Linked DNA regions of Ovis aries. The protein of the gene in region 1 interacts with the protein of each later gene in a pairwise test. Links are inferred from orthologs where the notes say so. Each region holds a gene or a part of one and is shown in the gene's direction. Other genes may lie near its edges.

Region 1 (2,559 bases):
ATCCTCCTTTTGCAGGCTCCTCTTAATCCTTTTGTCTTCCCCGAGCATATCCTTCCCTATTCATTTTTTCCTAACATCCTTCTACTCCCCACTGCCTATTACCATGAAGTAATACCACATACCTAGCCTCTCTTCTCTACCCCTAGGTACCTCCTCCCGGGAAGGCACCCTTTCTTCAGTGGGTCTCAGTTCTGTTCTGGGTACAGAAGACGACGATGATGAGGAATATGAATACATGAACCGGAGGAGAAGGTGCAGTCCATCTCGTCCTCCTAGGCCAAGTTCCCTCGAGGAGCTGGGTTATGAGTACATGGATGTGGGATCAGACCTCAGTGCCTCCCTGGGCAGCACACAGAGTTGCCCACTCAACCCCGTGCCCAACATGCCCAACGCCAGCACAACTCCAGATGAGGACTATGAATATATGAATCGGCGACGTGGTGGAGGAGGCGCTGGGGGGGACTATGCAGCCATGGGCGCCTGCCCAGCCTCTGAGCAAGGGTATGAAGAAATGAGAGCTTTCCAGGGGCCTGTACTCCGTGGGCCCCAGGTCCACTATGCCCGCCTCAAAGCTTTACGTAGTTTAGAAGCCACTGACTCTGCCTTTGATAACCCTGATTACTGGCATAGCAGGCTTTTCCCCAAAGCTAATGCCCAGAGAATATAACCCTTACTCACTGAGGTGCTCAGGGAGCATTTGATGGCAGCTAGTGCCTCTGGAGAGTAACCCTCTTCTTGGTCTCTCTCCCTCACAGGTCTCAGCCCCATTTCCTAGTCCTAGACAATTCCATTCAAATTATGGAGGCCTTAAACACTTTGACACAAATTTCTTGTGGTTATGTAGCCAGCTGTGCACTTTTTCTCTTTCCTGATCCCAGGAAAGGAGATGGTTTTCCCTATTTTGTGTGCTTTCCCAATCCCATTCCTCAGCTTCCTCAGGGGAACTCCCTGGAGATATGAAGGATTACTCTTGTCCCTTTTTCTTAGACTCTGACTTGTTGACACTAGGCTTTAAAGTATGCCTTTATTTCCCTTTAGACTTTAAAGGAAGAGGAAAGGGGGGAACCTGGCAGGGGAAAGGAAAATTTTGGCTTACGATCCTTAACCCTGCAGAAAGAATGAGAAGTGAAATCTTGTGGAGTGAAGAAAGAGGTTGGGAGTAGATATTAATGATTACTATTAATTGAGCATTTACTATGTGCCAAGCATCCTGCTAAACTTTACCTAAATTTATCTCACTTCATCCTTGACATCAACTCTGTGACCTAGGTATTAGCCTATTTTACAAATAAGGAAACTGAGCCTTAGAGAGGGACTTGCCTGATGGCTCAGTGGGTTAAGAATCCGCCTGCAATTCAGGAGACACAGGAGACACGGGTTCGAACCCTGGGTCGGGTAGATCCCCTGGAGGAGGGAATGGCAACCCACTCCAGTATTCTTGCCTGGAGAATCCCATGGATAGAGGAGCCTTAAAGAGATTAAGTAAATCAAGTAGCAGGTCCATGATTCAAAATCTTCCAATGCATGTGCTCTTACTGTAAGGTATCAAGGAAAACTGATGTAAGCCAGAGCCCTGGTAAGGGGCATTGTCTTCTTGTTTTTGCACTGAATCAAGTCTAACTCCAACAACTACTGTAGCCTCCTCCTTCACCCTGACCTCTTATCCTAGAAGTGGAAGGGGGTGGTCAGAAGGAAAAATAACTGGACATCTCTGTGTAAACCGTAGCCTACATGTGCTGTATATGAGCTCCACCCAAGGGACAGATTCACGGGGGTCCCAAGAGCCACTTTCAGGAGCTATTCTCATCCAGTCGTGGGAAGCTTCCAGTAGGGATAGAAAGAGGACCCAGCTTCAGACCTCTGTCCCTTTGGATGGGAAACTGGGGTATCTGTTTTTATCCCTGAAATTTTTTGTTTTGTTTTTATACGTCTGAATAAAAATGCCAAAGTTTTGCAGCTTTCTGTCTGTCAAATGAAAACCTGTCAAAGTGTATGAGATAGAACACTCTTTTTCCCTGTCTCTCAGCAGTGGATGCTTCTGTCTCTTGACAATCCTACTGGGCCCCATGTCGCTTTCTCCATCCCTACTTTTCCTTATTCCCTTAAGACGAGCATAGAGCACAGTCCTTTTCATTTTAGGGTTTTACTATTAAATCTCTATAGGGCAACCAACTGGGAATAACAAAACAACGCGTTCAGGGACGTTAGAAAAAGTCCTAAGAGGTAGAATACTGAAATTCATGTTTTAAAACTCATTCTCTTAAAAAAAAAGTCTCCGTGAACACTTCCCCCAGATGGCCATCAAAGCTTGTTAGAACAACAGTGCCATCTTCAGTGGGAGTCCGGTCTTTAGATCGGGATAATCGCTCAGAAATCTGGCTGCCCAAGCAGCCCCTGCTTCCCGGACTCCCTCCCGATCTTTTTCCATACCTGCTCTGCCCCTCCCGGTTCTCCCAGCACCTGAGGACAAGAGGACTGGCCCGGCCGGTCTTGCCGGCCGCTCCAGGGACTCAGGGAAGGGCGTATCCCACCTCCCCACCCTTATTACGATCCTCCCGA
Region 2 (4,248 bases), on another chromosome or scaffold:
ATCCCTATCCTCACATCTCACATAAAAGGAATGCCACTCCTCAGGAAGCATGGAACCTCTGCACTCATCCTGTAAAAGAATCCCAGCCAGATAAAGGAAACCGAAGACTGACACTGTACAGCAGGGATCCACAAACCGTGACCTTCAGGCCAAAGCCAGACTGCAACCTGTTTTTACACTTTTAAAGAGACAAAAAGAACATAAAGGAGAGAAAAGGAGGGGAAGGGATGGAGAAAAGAAAGAAAGGGAAGCAAAAGAAAGGAAAAGGAAGGAAGAGGGGGAAGGAGAACAGGAAGGAAGACAATGCCACAGTGGCCATATGTGACCTGCAAAGCGTAAAATATTTGTTATCAGCCCCTTTACAGAAAAAGTTTGCCAACGTCAGCTCTAGAGAAATCTCTCTTCTGACTATTCAGAAAAATATGGGCCTTGGCTTTTTCATGACTCCCTACTCTTTTACCCTGCATCACAGTCTCAAAATGCTCCTCAGGGTGTATCACTGTCTACATGCTTTCTTTGGTCTATGCAGAGGTTTAAAGGTCTTAAAGCTGTAACCCTCTTCCACTGGGACAAAAGACATGGTCAGGTAGGAAAAGACTGTAAGGGACGAGAAGGCTCGAACAGGGGTTTGCAAGACGGTCAGAGGACCCAGCTACCGGGCAATGGGGCTGTCAATCTGTTTGTTAGTAAGCGATGTTGAACCCCAGACTGCTTATCTCTCCCACCCCAGCCTACAGCCCAGTAGGAAATGGTGAAGAATGAGACAGGGAGATTAGGAGGACAAACTGGCTTACTGTGGGGCTGACATTTAGACATGTGATGTGAGGTAGCTGGGGATGGGGTGCACAGGGGCAACCTCCCCTACGTGCTAGGCACACACTTTCTATTACACCATGGGAGTAGAAGTGACACTGTGGAGGGCCACCGCCCAAATAAAAACTCCCCTCCTGAGGTCCATTCTGTCTCTGGGCACTATCATTATCACAATTTTCCAGATGAGGAAACTGAAGCACAGAGATGTTCAGTAACTTGCCCAAGGTCACATGGTTAAGTCACGTAACCTTAGTTTCCTCATCTGCAAAGCAGCCTCCAGGAACGACCTCATAGTATTTTGTCTTACGACAATGCCTGTCACATAATACTTGCTATTATCACAATTATTTGCCCCTACCAAGACTCCTTCTGCTCCACCAGTTTCGCGGCAGAATATTAGTATCTAACATTTGGTGAATGTTTCTTGTGCACTACCTTAGTGAACATGAACTCAGAAAATCCTCACATTTATCATCATCACCACTCCCATTTTGGCCGCCACCAGCCTTGTCCAGATTCCAACGCTTTCCAGGCACTACCACCAGCCCGCCCGGGCTACGTCATTACGGCGCGTCGCGCGGGAAGCCACGGGGAGGTGAGAAAGCGCCCCTTCCTAACGCCCTTGTTTGCTTGCTTCCACTCTTGAGTCATCGCACGGTAGGGTGGCGCGGGTCTGGAGGGGCCCTAAGGTAAGTGGACAGGGAATAAGGGACGGCGGCCATGGCCGATAGGACGACAGCGGGGGTGGTTGGGAGAGGGTCGGGCTTGAGCCCCGGCGCTTGGTCGAGCCGCCTGTAGGCGCCTCACGCAGGCGCAGTACGGCCAGCGTCGAGCGCAGAGAAGTGGAGTAGCCGATAGTGAGTCCACGGGAGGTGTGGCCCGCTGTGGGGGCGCGGCGGTGCGGCACGGTCCCCTGTGTGGGCGGAATCGGGGCGGTCTATGGAGAGACTCGGCCCAATGTAAAAGAGGGGATCACGCACCTGCGGTCGTCAGGAATTTGGAGGCTCCAGACAAGGGCGGAGTTTGAGAAAGGGGCTGCACCCGGTGAGTGGCGCGGAAGGGATTGGTCGGTGCCAATGGCGGGGCGAGAAGGAGGAGGGGCCAGCGGAAGGCGGCTCGAACTGACTGAAGGAGCTTGGTGAAGCGCTAGGGGTTGGACTTGGGTAGGGGGTGGGGCCTGTTGGAGGGAAAGAGGCAGTCCCCTGAGGAGCTGGGCTTGTCAAAACGTTAGGGTCAGGATCTAGCCAAATGGAAGGTGCTGGGCTGGCCCGATAAGGGGTGGAGTTAAGTGGATCGTTAAGGGTGGAGTCGGGGCCGGGGCCGGGGCTGGGTCTGGCTGAGTGAAAGGGTGGCTGATGATCTTGGGAGATTGGCTGGAAGGGGCAGGTTTGCGAAGGGGTGGGGTCTGCGCGAGGCTTTGGGGAATGAAAGGGTTGATAGAGCGGAAGGGGCGGAGAGAACGGACTGAGCTTGGGGGTTAATTGCTCTGTTAAAGGGCAAGACTTTGAAAGGAGAAAGAATAGTGTTAAAGGGATGGAGCCTAGTGGAATGGGCGGGACCAGGTAGGATGGACACCCGGTTGGAGGGAGAGAGCCTTGAGAGGTGGAGTTTAAAAGGCGGTCGGGAAGAGCCAGCATAAGGGAAGGAGACTAGCCTAGGGGGCGGGGTCTGGGAAGGGGCTGGTATGTGGGGTCTTCAGGGCGTTCGGGCTCCTTCACCGTCACCTCCACCCCACCCCCCAGGACCGCGTCAGGGGTGAAGTCTCCCCAGCCATGACCTCCACCGGTCAGGATTCCACCACACCCAAGGAGCGAAGGAGTAGGCACAATCCCCCCTCCCCCACCCATGACTCCAGCATCACCTCGGTGAGGCCCCCCAACCTGCCTTGATGAGGGGGAGGGGGAGCAGCGGGCTGTGCATTGGACTCTGACCCTTCTCTCTGTTTGGCAGAAGCGAGGTATTAAAAAGGGTGCCATGCTCCGCTCCAGCCCCAGTCTAGCGGAGGTAAAGAAGAAAGGCAGAATGAAGAAGCTTAGCCAAACAGCCGAGCAAGACCTCATCATGGGGCTGCAAGGGCTGGTGAGAGGCTCCTGGGACAATCAAAACCCTAAGGTTCTCCATCCTGGACAGTGTGGGATGTTCCCTCTGATTCAGGCCCTCAATGCATCAGTCTCTCCCATTTTTTTCCTCGCAGAATCTGAACCTGGAGGCCAGGACACTGTCTGGCACTGGTTTGGTGTTCGATGAACAGCTAAATGAATTCCACTGCCTCTGGGATGACAGGTGAGGCTGGCTCCTCCAGGCCACACCCAGTGCACAAATATATGCACTTAGAGCCCATTAGCAAGAATGAACCCTTTCTTACTCTAGCCTAGAGACTGGAAGCAAGTGATTTAGGGAGATGGGGATCAGGCTCGAATGGGTTCTTTTCATTTAGCCAACGAACATTTATTGAGTGCCTACTGTGTGCCAGACATGATACGAATGTGTCAGACAAGACAGACAGGGAGCTGACAAGTAGGAGAACAGGTCGCTAAATAGCCGTCAGCAACGTGAGGTATTTGGTGAAGGAGGACTTAAGACCAGGGCTTTCAAGAGTGTTTACTAGAGGACCTTAGATTAGTAACCAGGGTTCTCAGGAGGCTTCCTTGAAGAAGGGACCTTTGTGCTGAAATGGAAGAATTACACTTCCCATTCAGTCACATGTTGCAATCCATCAGCAAATTCTTTTGGCTGTTTGAAATGGATTCAGAATCTGACCTCTCCTTGCCATCTCCACTGCCACCACCATTATGACTCACCTAGACTTGCAGAGACCTCCTTGCTTCCACCCTCGCCCCTATTGCCTGTTCTCCATACAACAGCCTAAAAGAATACATACAATGATGTTCTCTCTCTTAAAGTCTTTCAAGGACAGACTGTTTCCCTGAAGGTAAAGTTTAAATTCTTCATCCTGGCCTTCAGCGTTCCATGTGACCTGGTTCCATATCACCTCCATGACCTCTTCAGCCAATCCTACCCCTCATTTGCTTCACTTCACTTCATGCACACTGATCCCCTTGCTGTTCTTCCAACATGCCTGGCATTCTCTCATCTCAGCCTCCTCTCCCAGTTAACATTCAGATCTCAAGGAGACCCTTGGAGAGGGCTTTGCCTGGCCACTCCCCTTTCCCCACACCTGAGATATTCCTAACCGATGCCATTGTTTTGTCCATTATTATTCTTATGTGGAGAATGAAATGGCAATCCACTCCAGTATTCTTGCCTGGGAAATCCCATGGACAGAGGAGCCTGGTGGGCTACCGTCTATGGAGTCGCAGAGTCGGACATGACTTAGTGACTACAACTTGCTTAAGTGTTTACCAGTTTAATTTCTATTGCCCGTCTTCCAGTGGAAGACTCTGGATGGCAAAAAGCTTCATTACCAAATACATA
Region 3 (4,450 bases), about 83 Mb from region 1:
AGTTTTGTTAATTGACACAGTAACACTTGATTCTTAATGAAATGTTCTCATGCTTAGATATATTACTCATGGTAGAGAAATGAGTGTTTTGCTGTGATATGTTATGAAATACGTGTTATATCCTAGTTTGTCTACTGACACTGGGGTCTTGAATCTTAAAAAAAGGCCTCCGATGAAGCAGAGGAAAGTGGATCACAGGGGAAATTGGTGGAAGCTCTCAGGCAAATGAGAATTAATCATAGGGGAAACTACCGACAACTTCTGGAGGAGATGCTGACTAGTTACAGGCTAGCTAAAGTAGAGGGCGAAGAAAATCCTGCTGAACAAGCTGCTACAGCTGCTTCTTCGAACAGTGATGCTGGAAACACAGTGACAATGCAGGAAAGCCATACTGAATCAAAAAGTGATCTTGCTGAATTAGACAGCTGTCCTGAAGATGCAGGGACAAAGATGAGTGGGGAAAAGCTATGACTTGACTTTGTGGTAATATTGTTGTGATCTTTGATTTGATGGTTTTTTTCTTAGGAAGTATAATGTATGCATTTATATAACCATTTTGTTATTTGAAATCTTGGTAAACTAGTTTTATTATATTCATATATTATAGCCTTGTTTTTTAAGAAGGCTTTTGCATACATCTTTATCAGATAGTTTAAAATTGGCTATATTCTAGTACTTTGAATTTAATAAAATTACATGTCATTTCATATTGTATGCCAGAAATGAGGCTAACAGTTTATTAAAGTCAGTAGTTAAATTCATACTAGGAAAGGATTAGAAATTACCGATTAGCAAGATTACTTTATATTGTGGAAAAAATTGTTAATGTAGAATTATACTGCTTCACATATTAGTACATTCATAGTTAGCTCTGTAATGAATTTGTGTTTTCTTTAGTAATTTTAGTTCTTCAAAGAATGGCAGATGCTGTCCTGTAATTTCTTTTTTCAAGGATGATAATTTGTGTGTTCTTGGAATTGTTTATATTTTGCCTCTCTGTAGTTTTATTTTTTAGTAGTTTTGAGATTCCGGATGTGTGGTTATTTTTCCTTTTTCTGTATCCTTTATGAAACATCATTTTTGAAAAACCTGTGTATTATTCATCCAGCTTTGGTTTGTATATTCTGTGTAGCCTGACTACATACATCCAAATGTATGTCAACCAAGTGTTTAGAATGAAATTATACATGTTTAAGTCCAAATAAAGCATGTGATGTGGAATAACCTATGCATGTTGTACTTATTTTTAATTTTTTTAAAAAACAACCAGGTTTGGTATATTGGAAAAATAACTTGAATTTCATTTGTATCTATATAAAACTTAGAAAACTTTTGGTTTGGTGCGTTTTTCATTAATTAAAAAAATTTTGAGAAGTCTTGGTTACTCAAAGTAAATCTATTCTGTTTCTTAACCCCCTTTGTGACACAAAATATTAATCTTTGGACAGTATGAACACATGTAAACATGTCAGAAGGTTGTCATGATGAGCTTTTTAAAGATTGCAAGACTTTGAGTTTTGCTAGAAGTATTCATCAGAAATTAGTAATGCAAGAAGTAGAAGATGTTTTAAATAGTGGTGGCAGATATGAGTTTGACTTTGCTAAAATGAATTTTTAAAATACAAACAACTAAATCACATTAGAGTATTTTTTAAAACAATTGTGTATGTAGAACATTTTAACTTTGCTTTTTCATGTTTTATATTTATCATGTGTCTAAAGTTGCTTAAGGTGCCATAAGTTGAAGCTTTGCAATCTTTGGATATAGCTGATGTTTTGATCTGTTTTTCCAATGCCAGAATATTTTTAAGTGGTTTGAGAAAGAGGAAGTCATTTGGTGGAAAGGGGAGGAAAAAACCCAACCAGTTATCTATCTATATTAGATAGATCCATGTGTGTATACACACAGTATACAATACACACAACTCTCTCTGTAAAAGTACCTTTCAGACAAAGAAAGGAAGGTAACTTGTTCATCTGATTTTGTTTTCTTTTGAAATTCAGTCCAGCCTGGAAGTGGTGTAGGTAAATAGTAATAATATTCTTCCTTTTCTCTTCCTGTAGGGTGCTGGAGATCTAGAAGACCCATGGTAGCCTTATAAACCTTCTAAAATGCTTTTGATTCTGAAAATTGGGGGAAAAAACTTTTAATCACAATTTTCTTCAATACAAGGGAAAAATATTCTTGTGGATTCCCAGCGTTTTGTGATATGAGCAGAAAATCATTAGCATTTCCCATCATTTGTTCATATTTGTGTTTTCTGGTAATTGCCACTTGTAGCATTGCCTGTACTACAGTATTTTTGCCAGCCTCAGACATACTGGTTACATCTGTATTGAACTTTTGACCCTAGAAACCAATGGAGTTATTTCACCACAAATAACGAATATGCCTGAGGTGCATGGGAATATAGTTAGCTGTACTCTGAAGATACATTATTATTATTTTTTTTAACTAAGGCACACAACATATAAGCATGTAAGAGTAAAGAACTGTATGAGATGTTCCTTTTTTCAATTCACCAAGTTGGAAGCCTTTTGCAGCTCTGTGGCTTAAAATTTCATTTGAGCAATTTACTATAGGATTTATATTTATTATTAATTGTTATTTAATTTTTTTTTCCAATTTTACCTGTATTACCAAACTGGGTTCTCCAATAATGTCCAAATTGTAATGTTGCCTGCTTCAACATAAAGTATATTTGGCAATAATATTATAAACCCTTACAAATTTTATGCATGTATCTACTACATCCTTCAATTCTCACTAGAAAAATCTCTTGAAACCAAATGGATTAATTTATGGCTATTTATAATTTGCTTTGACATCTCACTGCTGCAAATTTTTTTAAATGATGAAATTTGCCTTTATAATGTAAATTGTGATTTTTGTTTTACATGTGGGTTTCTATAGTTTTAATTTTTCAGCTTTTAAGATACAACAGGTTTTGTGTAATTTGGTATAATTTTTAATTGTTTACATTATTTTAAAAGCTCAGAATATCACATTGAAATGACTATAAATACATTTAAAATTATCTATTTTAGATCTAAGGAAATATTACAGAGATATTTTCATGGGTTCAGTAACCTTTCATTTTATAACATTGGGCACGGTACGGAGTGGCTGTCACATAAGGTACTTGAAGATTATTAGTTTAATTCTATTTTTACAATAACCTTGAATTCTTGAATTCTTCTGAGTTTTGCATGTATCCAGTTAATGCTGAACGTGAAGAGTGAAATATTTATCTAAAAGGAGCGTGGGGGTAGGAGAGCAATGAATGTATCCATTTGTACATGGTGTACATGTTGTGGATGCTTTGTAAACATTTTCCTATCTGTTCAAATTGTGTTTCAGCAGGATGTAATTGCCCTTGTGTGTAGTTGAAATGAGTCATCATCTGGTCCTGTGTGAAATGGAATTCATGGTATTTTCTGTAACATTTTCCTGAAGCTGTTTCTGGAGAGCCACACATTTAAATACAGCTTTCTTGATCATTTCGATTTATTGTGCACCTGATTTTTTGGTCTGAAAGGAATTATTGCCACAACATATTTTATTTATTCTTTAGATTTTAGCCTTGTAAGTTAAAGTGCTTTACATGATGATGTTAAGAGCTATTTGTCCCTTGACTGGGTTTGGGGGGGTTGTTAAAAGATAGGGAATGAAGAATGCAAAATGGTTGTTGTTCAAACTGTCCACTCTGATCCAACCCTGTACTGATAGTACCTTTCCAGTATGATATTGTGATGTTTCATACAATGCAGTGAACATAACCAACTTGTTACCTAAATAAAGACTTGATAAAAACAGTGTGACATATTACTATTTTGTATGGTATTTAAAAATAAAAGTTCAGCTTTGTATGTTATCGTAAACATCTGATATAGTTAGAATATCTGTTATAAAAAATTTCATACAAAACCATGTAGGGGAGTTACAATTAAATCCAAGGAGGTATTAACCAAACTCTGTAGGACAATACTAGTAATCCCTTATCCACTCCCAAAACATTTTTATACTGTTTTAAGAAATCTTTTTCAGGGGACTTTGTGGCCATGGAAATAAAAATTTTGTGTGAGGTAGCAAAAGAAACACCCATATTCAGTATTTACTAATCTAAATTCCGTAGTCTAGCTGTTCTCGGCTGTTTTTGTTATCAGGACCCATTTATATATCTAAAAATTCAAGATCCCAAAGGACTTTTTGCTTTTGTGGGTTTTGTGTATTGTATAGAAGTTAAAACCAAGAAATTTTGCATACCATTTTAATTCATTAAAGATAAAACCATTACCTGTTAAAATAAATAGCATGTTCTATTAAGATAATTATTTTCCAGATCTAAAGAGTTTAGTGTGAAAAAATAGCACTAGCTTTCATTTTTGTAAATCCTTGAACGTTGACTGGATTCTCTTATTTACTTTTGCGTTCAATCTGTTGCAGTGT

The links.
Region 2: the proteins of ERBB3 (region 1) and HDAC6 interact in a protein complementation assay, tested with the Homo sapiens proteins (2 studies listed by BioGRID and IntAct, with this or other methods). The link is inferred for Ovis aries from reciprocal best matches to the Homo sapiens genes ERBB3 and HDAC6.
Region 3: the proteins of ERBB3 (region 1) and PPM1B interact in a two-hybrid assay, tested with the Homo sapiens proteins (2 studies listed by BioGRID and IntAct, with this or other methods). The link is inferred for Ovis aries from reciprocal best matches to the Homo sapiens genes ERBB3 and PPM1B.

The regions. Positions count from the first base shown.
Region 1 is NC_056056.1:163,433,773-163,436,331, reverse strand, and holds the end of ERBB3 (receptor tyrosine-protein kinase erbB-3), read left to right. Parts: intron 1-146; coding exon 147-667; 3' UTR 668-1,956; downstream 1,957-2,559. UniProt on the Homo sapiens protein: Tyrosine-protein kinase that plays an essential role as cell surface receptor for neuregulins.
Region 2 is NC_056080.1:56,256,733-56,260,980, reverse strand, and holds the start of HDAC6 (histone deacetylase 6), read left to right. Parts: upstream 1-1,375; 5' UTR 1,376-1,408; exon of another isoform or gene 1,409-1,502; intron 1,503-1,678; exon of another isoform or gene 1,679-1,857; intron 1,858-1,995; exon of another isoform or gene 1,996-2,199; intron 2,200-2,256; exon of another isoform or gene 2,257-2,375; intron 2,376-2,555; 5' UTR 2,556-2,585; coding exon 2,586-2,678; intron 2,679-2,763; coding exon 2,764-2,925; intron 2,926-3,007; coding exon 3,008-3,096; intron 3,097-4,248.
Region 3 is NC_056056.1:80,069,282-80,073,731, reverse strand, and holds the end of PPM1B (protein phosphatase 1B), read left to right. Parts: intron 1-126; coding exon of another isoform or gene 127-138; exon of another isoform or gene 139-165; coding exon 166-471; 3' UTR 472-2,064; coding exon of another isoform or gene 2,065-2,094; 3' UTR 2,095-3,816; downstream 3,817-4,450.